Tribolium castaneum: one gene and its partner. The protein of the gene in region 1 purifies or fractionates together with the protein of each later gene. This does not show direct contact. Links are inferred from orthologs where the notes say so. Each region holds a gene or a part of one and is shown in the gene's direction. Other genes may lie near its edges.

Region 1 (5,691 bases):
ATATTTTTTTTGTGTAGAATCCAATTATGCAAAAATTTATAGGATGTTCCATTTAGAAAAATAAACTCTGGTTCACCACCCTGTAAACAACACCCTAAGTATAATAACAATATTATTAATTTGTGGACTTAAGTCGATCTATCGGATAATGAAATCGGTATGACATTATTTCAAATAGCAAAAAAGTTATAGATTGATTACGAACCATTGGGTCATGTATTACTAAAAATATGCCACTGGTCTATTTTCCTTGTACTGTTGATTGCGTTTGCAATGGAAATGCAGTTAGAACTTGATTGTTCTCAGGTCGCGAAATATTAAAATAATAAAGGTTTGATTATTCAGGGTGTTTACGGTCTTGGGATTGAAACTTAAAGGGGATGATATAAGTTATAATTCACATTGTAACAGAAAATCATTCAATTTGCATTGTTTGTGAATTGTTGCTTCGACTACAACAATTGCAATTATTACCTTGTGCTTCGTTGTAAGTTCTAATCATGACAATGAATTAATTATTTCAGTAATTGTAGTCCAGGGCAGTGGCGGCTCGCCTGGGGAAATACGTGAAGTGGCATTTCACCTAAAATCTATACTTACACACAGAAATATTTAATAAATTCTAATAAACTAAATTTACAGTAAAAAGTACATTAAACACGTCATAACACATTCAATTTTTTTCCAAATTAAAATATTCCATACTTTCGCATGCGTATTTTGTTTCGTTGCCATGACAACGCCGACGACGCCGACTTGACTATAAGCGTATGTTCGGGCGTATCCAGTATCGGAGTATTGTATAGAGCTCAATTTCACCCAGTTTTCGTGTTCGCGTTGAACGTCTCTATTATGATATGACTATATTTTAATTTCTAGAAACTTCACTTTTAAAATAAATCCTATAAACAACACTGAGCCTTATTCTGTACGAAAAACTAGGAGCCGGTTTACAGAACATTTTAATTGCAATTACATTTTAATCACGATTAACTTGACATTTGTCAATGCATTTTACATTTAAATGGCAACTTAATTCGAATTAGTTTAATTCTAAATTAGATCTTAATTTCACTTTCTGTAAACCGGCTTTAAAACTGTTTTAATTGTTTTTAATTTAAGGAGCTTTAGTTGTTGGTACAACGATAATCAACAAAATTGCTAGGTTTGCTATTTTTTGAAATGTGTCAAATTTTAACAGTCCTTTAATAAAATTACAGAATAGGTCTTAGTGTGTGCAGTTTGGTAAAAACAGTTTATTTATGCGTTTGTTATGTAATTACTACTTAGTGTTGGTACAGTTTTTTGTTTTAATAAGTACTTCCACTAAAAATTTACGATATGATTCGGTAAATGATCTCTTTACCTATTCTTAGGGTTAAATTAAACGTTAGAACTATCATAACTTCACAAAAAAATGTAAAACTTTTAGCTCTTCATCTAGTTTTGAACGCCTCCACAAAACACAAATTGAACTTGCTCAAAACGATTTCGGGTTAAATTCAAATTCAAATTTTGATCAAACTAAAGTATTGCTGTTTCAGAACAATAAAAACGCCAACGTCGCATTTTCTCTCAAAATTAGCTGTTAGAGTTTATTCCAAAAATGAGTGAATTTTGGCATTAAACATACATAGGTAAACATTTACTATTGAAAAAAAAATGACCATAGGCGTCGTTATACAATGTCTGTCAAATCCACTGTTAGTATTTAAAAAATTGTGGTAATTAAGTACTGTGAAAAATAATAAACAAATTATTAATAATAATTAATAGTGATATTTCTACCTTTCTCCGTTCTCAAAATTTATTAATGTTAAAATGAGAACTAAGTAAACTTTACAGAAAAAAAATGCACGCCCATGTATTTTTATGTCACTGTCAGTTCGCCACCAGATATGGAACAACCTCTATAAATTATTCATGCACTTCAAAAAAATAATAACTAGTGTAATTTATACTTTCAATGAGAGATCTAATCATTAATAACTATTTTACAATTTTATCAATAGTATTTAAAAAAATAATTCGATAAAATGCGACGTTGGCGTTTTTATAGTTTTGAAACAGCTAATAGAGGCAAATGAAATTAATGTACAATTAAATTTTATTTTAACAGAGAAATTATTCCGGTGACCCTCAAACCCCGTACCAATACTTCGGAGTTGAATAAAATTCTTAAAAATAAAAATTCCCTGAGTGTGTTGGCAGTTATCTCATTTCTACACTCTTCTGTAAACACACTGTATTGTACTGCAACCCTCCATTCGAATTTGGCGCCACACCCCGTCCAGATGGCTCTGCCATCACAAACGCCCTCACGTCGCCATCTTTCCTTCTTGTTTATCGCCGATTTCGTCCACTTTCCAACACGAAACGATGTCCAACAGCCGCAACGACTGCCGAATCTACGTCGGGAATCTGCCCCCGGACATCCGCACCAAAGACATCCAAGACCTGTTTTACAAATTCGGCAAAGTTACATTCGTCGACTTGAAAAACCGACGGGGACCTCCTTTCGCCTTCGTCGAGTTCGAGGACCCCAGGTAAGCCCCCATGTGGCCTCGAAACCCTCTCAGTGTGCTGATTTAGGGACGCGGACGACGCCGTACATGCACGGGACGGTTACGACTACGACGGCTACCGCCTCCGGGTGGAATTCCCGAGGGGCGGCGGCCATGGCAGCTTCAGGGGTGGCCGCGGCGGCGGCGACAGGGGACGCAGCTCCAGGGGGCCACCAGCTCGCAGGTCGCAATTTAGAGTGCTTGTGACAGGTGGGTTTGTTAATTTGATTTGTGTTTTCGTTTTTTATCGCGAAAATCATTCGAAATATAATAGGAAATAAAGGTCGGAAAAGCGATTAAAAGGAAAGTCATTTAGTTTTTATTTACAGAATTTTTCGAAATTACACACAAGGGTATTTTAGCATGTGTGGCTGCCACCTACGATTTGATTTTTTAAATTGTGAGGTTGTGTTTTCATTGCATCGTTTCTTGAATCGTCAATAATTTATTATTATTATTACATTTTTGTTTTTTTTTTGTAAACTATAAGATTAGAGCGAAAATAAAAAAAGCATGAAAATACATTTAAAATTGTCTTATCTTTTCGTAAAAACATATGGGCTGTTCGTTTTTATTGTTACAACTTTTAAACAGGTGATAGCACACTCAATTTTAGGAGAAAAGTTTCCTACAAACATGTATCGAAGAATATTTCATAAGGGGTGTTCCTTTTAGTGTAATTTAATTTCCCCAATATTTCAGAAACCATGGCATATAAAAACACAAAATTTGGTACAGATAATAATCTCTGTACGTCTAATTGAATTCGAACACCAAATGTACATATTTGTAATCAGGGACGTCCCAAATTGGGGGGTGGAGGATAAAAAATACCCCAACTATTTTGGCTTTCGTTTTTTGACAATTTTAGAAACGAAGGCACATTTCTTATGGGAATTTAAGGACCACTCAGATTGAGTAATTTTTATAATATCAATCGATGCGTCTTAAAAAGCTGAACAAATCATATCATTGCGTCAAACGTGTAACTTAATTAGGAATGCCGGAAATTGCAATCGAATTGAAGATTTGTCCCATAATAAAAGCATTGGGGCGGCTTTTCGGTGAGAGCTTGTAATCCAGATTGGGGGTCAGGTATAGGGAACAGACACTTTTATGGAAATAGGGATTTAAGCTGACAAGTTATATCTCCAACAATGAAGTGTTATACTCGAAAATAAAAGTTTTTGGAAATTGTAGATTCTGAAAGTAGACACAAAATGATGTCTAGTAATATCGGTCTGAGTTTTTTTAAATCGGTACTTTTTTAGTAATAATAGAAAATTCGCGCTGTGACGTAAGCAATGTCTCGACTAATGATTCGTCAGTCTTTTGCTGCATACAATTAACGCTACGACCTACGTTTGGGTTGGTAAACGTTAAATATAAATGTCAAAACCGTGCGTTGTTGATTGTGACTGTTGTGTGCTAATATTTTGCAGGAGTTTGTGTTTTGGTAAAATGACTGCTCCTGCAGCACATCTGAAGTCGTATGTAAAACAACAGAGGCAGAAATTAAGAAAAAACGGACCACTAGAACCAAATTGAAATCTACGTCTTTTTGGCTTAGGCCGCATTTGTAAGAAAATGTCGACGTTTTGTCCGTTCTTCCTCGGGACAGGTTCTGGTCGCGAAACCTTCTGTTCATCCCTGATTTTCATGTTATTTATGGTCTGTAACATACTGTTTATTAAGAAACGGTTAGTTGTATAGAAATAACACAAGAGACCATTTTTATGGAAAAAACTATGGAATTTACTATTTTGTTATTAAATTGTCAGAAAACTAAAACCAAAATAGTTAGGCCTGATTGCTCAGTTCAAGCTGAAGCTTTCGCTTACATGAGGTCGGTTTATATTTAAACTAAGTTTAAACCGTAGTTGTGTTGTTGAGTGGAAAGTTTAGCTAAACCGCGCTGAACTTGTCACTTACGGGGTTGGTAGTTCTGAACGCTTGCGCACTTCAAGTATGAGGTTGCTTGACGAAATTTTAACAGTTCTGATTTTGAAAAGTTAAGTTAATATTTTGGTACATTGTAGGAATAATATTGTTATAATGATATTTATGCTTCCTTCTGAAAAAGAGCAATTTATCGTTTTCTGTCTTTTCTTTCAAAACACAGCAATAAACTGATTTGCACAGTTTATTTGTTGCTTTTGTGCATTTGAAGACTTGGGCGTCCTCACTTTTTAAAACTATGCTGTAATTAAAATCACATAATATTTACTTAGTATCAATAATTCTAACAACATTATTCCCCTGACTGTCGGATTTTGCTGCAGCAATTAAAAAAGTTACTGAAATAAGAATAAGTAAATTATTATCATTATACTTTTTTTTTAGTTTTTTTTTAAATATAATAATAATATATTAACTTACATGTTGTCTATTCATTACTGTCATTGTTCAAGTTTATTTGTTTAATTCAAACTGAACCGAAATTTATTTAAAAAAACTGTTTCTGTGCATCATTTTTGAATCCGGAAATTTAATAGTTCTTCATCATTATTGTTAAAAGCAATTTTTTTCCACATTTGTGAAAGTAAGTAGTATATGGGCTATATGGCGCTTCATGAGTCTGTTTTTTCTAACATTGTTGGTCTGCGTATTTTATGATTTTTTTAATTGTCATATATTTTTCGTAATTAGCAGCCTCTCTACGGGTGTCTTTTGTTGTATTAAATCTTCGAGCAATTTGGGCCCATGTTCCATTTTTTTCACCGAACGTAATCAAGTATCTTTTTTATAATTTTGAACAAAATTGACCATATTTTTTTTGCGTTTAAAATTGCTACTTCGGTTTCTTTAATTTATCTGTTAACGATTTCAATAAAATTATAAAGTTATGTATATTAATAACGTTAATATTAAAAATGTTAAGCGATAAGCCAATGCTTAAGCGGCCAACATCGACCGGTTAGTTAAACCAATACTAAGCTTTAGCTTAGTCGATATTTCGTATCTGACCACACGGTGCCCCTAGTTTGGGACACCTCTCATTAAAAATTCCTACATTTGATCCTTAAATTCGATTAGGCGTATGAAGGTTATCAATTGTACCAAATTTTGTATTTTTATCTGAAACGGTTTCTGAAATATTGAGGAAAACCTACATGTTTATAGGAAA
Region 2 (4,928 bases), on another chromosome or scaffold:
GTCTATCATTAAGGCGTTTTTTCCGCTCGGTAATTACAACCCAGACGGAGAATTTGCATTTTACTTTCTGCACCCGCATTGCATCATGCGTTTTAGGGGCTCACCTTCAAATGATGCAATAAAATTCATTAAGAAAAAAAATTGCCGCAAGATATGTGTTTCCCGAGCGGTACCGTGCGGTACCAGGATTCCGATAAATTTCCAAAAGTAAACAATCTCTTATTAATAATACTGCGATAACAGCTATTGTGACTTGTGTCCCAAAAAATGCGACAGAAATATTTTGACTTACTTTGGTGTTTGCCGTTGTTTTTCCAGATGCTTTTCAGGAAAGCCATTTCACAGACTCACTTATTGAAAAATAATATAAAAGCGCGTTCAAATCCGCGTCTTTACGAATCACAAGCTGATCGGTGAATGTCGGCCGGCTATCAAGCAAGCCATGAATCTCTTCATGGCAAGATATGATCTTTATATGTGGTGTACCCACTTTCCGCGAAATTACTTAATCTGAATTTTTTCAAAATAATTCTTCGTCTCAGCTCTTATCGCTGTTTGTCTTATTATACGGAATTATCGGACACGTTTCATGGAACCTGGTACCACTTAATATTTTTTAGCGATTTTCAATTATCTATAAGCGTGACATTCATCTAGTGGGCAGTGCGCTTGCATTTTCAAATTTTCAGTAATAAATAATGAAGTTACCATAAAAGCAGTCCAGTCTATACATAGTAATGCACAAGACTTCTATTAAGCTATTAAATAAAGTCAGATTTTTTTCAAGTAACTTTCTTATATATATTTGTTGTTTCTTAGGATGTCGAATTTAATTTATTGTCGAATTTACAAGTTTTTCATTGTTTTGGACATCATAAAGATATTAATTGTTATTTTTTTCAACAGCTATTTGTTTAAAAAAAAATATGATCTGAAGCACCAAAAAATTAACATAAAAAATTAACTTCGAGGAGCTATATCTCGTGAAAAAAAGCTTAAACATTTTTTTGCCATAGGAACTTTTAATTCAGTCTTTTCTCAACACTCGAGAGATTGTATGGTAGTTTTGAATCACCCTGTATTAAAACGGGGGGTACCACAGGGCAGTGTATTGGGTCCGATGCTGTTTTCGTTATATACCTTTGATCTTACTAATTATATAACTAACTGTAAAATTCACATGTATGCTAACGATATGCATTTGTATCTGACATTTCCATTCAATTATGACAAAACTATAAAGCTATATACAAAAAACACGGTGTAAATCTAAATGCAAACAACTGTCAGACGGCAATCTTTGATTGAAAATAATCAACAACTGAATTTATATAACCAAAAACTTACTAGGAAAAATTTAGTAATTTAATAGTGCTTTGATGAGCATGTACAGGCTGTTTCATATAATTTTACCATGACAGTAGTTGTCAGACTAATGACTGTTTAATGGATAGTCATATGTTTTTCACTAACAATTATCATGTGTTCTATCAAGTGACGTCATGAATATAATCCTAATTATTCCAATTTTTCAAAATTTGTAATCTAGTTCGTATTTTTAGTAGTTTAGGCATTTAGATTCATAAATAAAATTGAAACTGGTCACATCTCTAATGATGTGTGATTATTATCAAATTTTGTGCAAAAATGAAAGGGCCAATGGAAGATAGCATCTGCGAACTGTTCCCTTTTGTAAATGTATCATTATATTTAATAAAGTTTATTATTATTATTAAGTATTAATTGCCACCAGCTTGGTAACAAAGCAAAAGTTCACCGACATTTTTAGTGATACTGATAATACAAATTGTTTGTATTAATTTATCGCCGCTTTGAAAGTGTTTTTAGTCTTATTGTTACAAAATATGTTTTTCGGTTTGTTTACAATGTATGCACACACTAATCTAACAAAACGTGTTTTATTAATAGATCGATTGGTTCGGCTGAAGCCGGCCCTGTGGTAATTTTCCGAAAAACAGTCCGACTCTGTTTACGTCAATCAAGCAAAATATTTTTACCGCCGCACGACAATCGTACTTTTACAAACAATTAACAATAACAAGTTAAGCAAGACCGTAATTGTAAATAATTAATTAAATTAATCGTAATTCAAACGACACAGTTTGCGACATTACCGACAGGTACCCACAATCCCCTTGACATTAATTGACGCCATTTTGAACGTTTTGTGAGTTGTGTTAAAAACAAACCAAACATTTGAGTTAATTGACCCAAATTGTGCTTAATTTTTGTAAAATTTGACCTAATTGTGCTACTGTTCCACAATGGGGGAGGAAAAAGGTGAGTCCGGGCCCCACTTAACCGGCGAGTTTCACCCAATTCTAACCCCTCTAGACGGTAAAAACAACGAGCGGGAGCGGAGCCGGGAGCGCGGGGACCGCGAAAAGGACCGCCGACGGCGCTCCCGCTCCCGGGAGCACCGCCGGAGGTCGCGCTCCAGGTCCCGGGACCGCCGCCGGAAAAGCCGCTCAACGTGAGTATTTCGCCTTGGTTTCGTGGATTAATTGGGGGTTTAGGAGTCGCCATAAGAGCCACTCGCGGAGGCGCAAGCCCTCGCTGTACTGGGACGTGCCCCCGCCCGGGTTCGAGCACATCACCCCCTTGCAGTACAAAGCCATGCAGGCCGCGGGGCAGATCCCGGCCAACATCGTGGCGGATACGCCCCAAGCGGCTGTGCCTGTCGTCGGGTCGACTATTACGAGACAGGCGAGGCGGCTGTATGTGGGGAATATCCCCTTCGGGGTCACTGAGGAGGAGATGATGGAGTTCTTCAACCAGCAAATGCATCTCAGTGGCTTGGCGCAAGCTGCAGGGAATCCGGTGCTGGCGTGCCAGATTAATTTGGACAAGAATTTCGCCTTTTTGGAGTTTAGGTCGATTGATGAGACGACGCAAGCGATGGCTTTTGATGGGATTAATTTCAAAGGTGGGGTTGGCGTAATTAGTCCGGTCAAATAAGTCTTTATATCAAAATCTAGGGGATACAAGTATTGCAAAACGTAGTCAAAGAAGTGTTTTTTAAAGATTACTCAAATTCGGTACGAGTTAGAAAAAAAAATGTATTAAATGAAAATTATAAAGCATTTAATTTTACGCAAAAATGTTCTCTCGACTTTTTTTGATATTATTCAAATTAACAGAGCTTTGGGTGCTTAAATGTTAATGTACAATTTAAAAAAAAAACATCAAAAACACTTGATTGTTCTGTAGATTTTTCAGCTAAATTTGAATTTAGGGCACTTTGCACAAATTGTTAGATTTTATTTTAAGTTTTATGAACAAGGTCAGTAGACGTGATTTTTTTTTCGGAACCTAGTAGTAGTCAAACTGTTTGCAACCTACAATTACAGTCACATTTGTAAAATTTTAAATACGAACAGGAAAAGAAATACAAATCGATGACGGACGGGACAAAAAAAATTTCACATTTTTATTGATGAACAATCGTTATAAAATTCTGCTAATTTAAAGGCACTAATTGCAAGAATTATTTTTGAAGTAAAAGGTGGAACTTGTTGAAACTGAAACCACGAACCACGAAATTTTTTGTTTACACATAACTGTCGGCAGAAAAAAAATCTTGTGTGTGAAAATAAGTACAGAAAATTTAATCACATAGGTTTTAATTATTAAAGACTTTAACAATATCAAAGTATGTTAAATTTTATATGAGACGTTCACTCACGACAACAGCCAGTAACAAACTGAATAACATTAAATGCCGCAACAATAATCATTGTGTAAGATTATGGATAAAATGTCATCAACAAAAGTTATAATCTGTGAGATAACTAGTTGTTACAAGGTAGGAATAACGAGGTTTGTTTGATCCATTGGTTTTTGCTACTACTTTGTCACATTTTATGCTTTTGAGTAAATAATTTCAGACAAAACATTCATAATTTCGTATTCTAAAAATTAAGATAGCCACTTTTTTACGGAGAATTTAATAATAAAGACACCAGTGTTTTCTAAATTATTTATTTAAGTGTAATAATAATTAATAAGACAAATTGTATTAATACTGTGTGTACATATTTTAACTGGACACTGCAAAAAATTTAAGATTTTATTTTCAATTTTTTTAATAGTATCAGTAGAAAGTACAGCATCAACATTAAGTATTAACCGAATTGTGTATTTTGAAAGAAACTTTACTAAATTTATTTTGAAAATTTCGGTGTAGGGTTTTATTTTTGGAATGGCCGTTTAGCAAAAAAATTAAAAACCTAAAACTGGACAAATTGTGCGTTTACATCCTCATATCTTCCTTCTAAATAACGTTCTTACACAAGGCTGGGTTTTGATAAGAGAAAACTGAAAAAATGTACGTGCTGTGAAATTTTTGAGATGTGAGAAAGTTTTAATTTTTTTATTTTAAAACGCGAACCCTTACATAATCGAGATGAAAACACTTCAAATACATTTTTAGTTCAAGAATTATTTTGTTATTTGTAACACTCATCAAGTTATTGCAGTTTTCAATTACTGAAAAGTTCGAAGTGAAATCGCAGCGTATTTTCCTTTGAAACAAACATTTCGAGGGCTAATAAAAATGGAAACAAAAATTAATTAATGTCATCTCAAAAAATAGCTTGGAGTGGATTAATGTTTCGTAATTAGTTCTATTTCGTCACGTTTTTGGCTTTTTAAATAAGTTCCGGAGATATAAATGTTCTTTTGACTTCTTTAATATTAAAATTAACAATTAGGGCGGTTAAACGTAAAGTCATGATAACTGATAAGTATGTACAACTTTAATAAAGTCATGGTGAGTTGAAATTAATTTTCTAATTTTTTTAACAATAATTTTTGTAATAAAGGTATAATTTTTGTAATAATTGGTATAAATTTGGTATAAATCTAGCGGTGGACATAAAAGATTGGGACATTTAAAATTAAAAACA

What was found. The genes of interacting proteins can lie anywhere in the genome.
Region 2: the proteins of SF2 (region 1) and U2af50 purify together in Homo sapiens (affinity purification with mass spectrometry; 4 studies listed by BioGRID and IntAct, counting the BioPlex papers as one, with this or other methods). This does not show direct contact. The link is inferred for Tribolium castaneum from reciprocal best matches to the Homo sapiens genes SRSF1 and U2AF2.

Annotation. Positions count from the first base shown.
Region 1 is NC_087401.1:8,587,522-8,593,212, reverse strand, and holds the start of SF2 (serine/arginine-rich splicing factor 1A), read left to right. Parts: upstream 1-2,290; 5' UTR 2,291-2,379; coding exon 2,380-2,546; intron 2,547-2,592; coding exon 2,593-2,774; intron 2,775-5,691. UniProt on the Homo sapiens protein: Plays a role in preventing exon skipping, ensuring the accuracy of splicing and regulating alternative splicing.
Region 2 is NC_087399.1:6,082,700-6,087,627, forward strand, and holds the start of U2af50 (splicing factor U2AF 50 kDa subunit), read left to right. Parts: upstream 1-2,128; 5' UTR 2,129-2,285; coding exon 2,286-2,301; intron 2,302-2,355; coding exon 2,356-2,494; intron 2,495-2,537; coding exon 2,538-2,947; intron 2,948-4,928. Other genes in the region: low density lipoprotein receptor adapter protein 1, read right to left, coding at 293-338. UniProt on the Homo sapiens protein: Plays a role in pre-mRNA splicing and 3'-end processing. By recruiting PRPF19 and the PRP19C/Prp19 complex/NTC/Nineteen complex to the RNA polymerase II C-terminal domain (CTD), and thereby pre-mRNA, may couple transcription to splicing.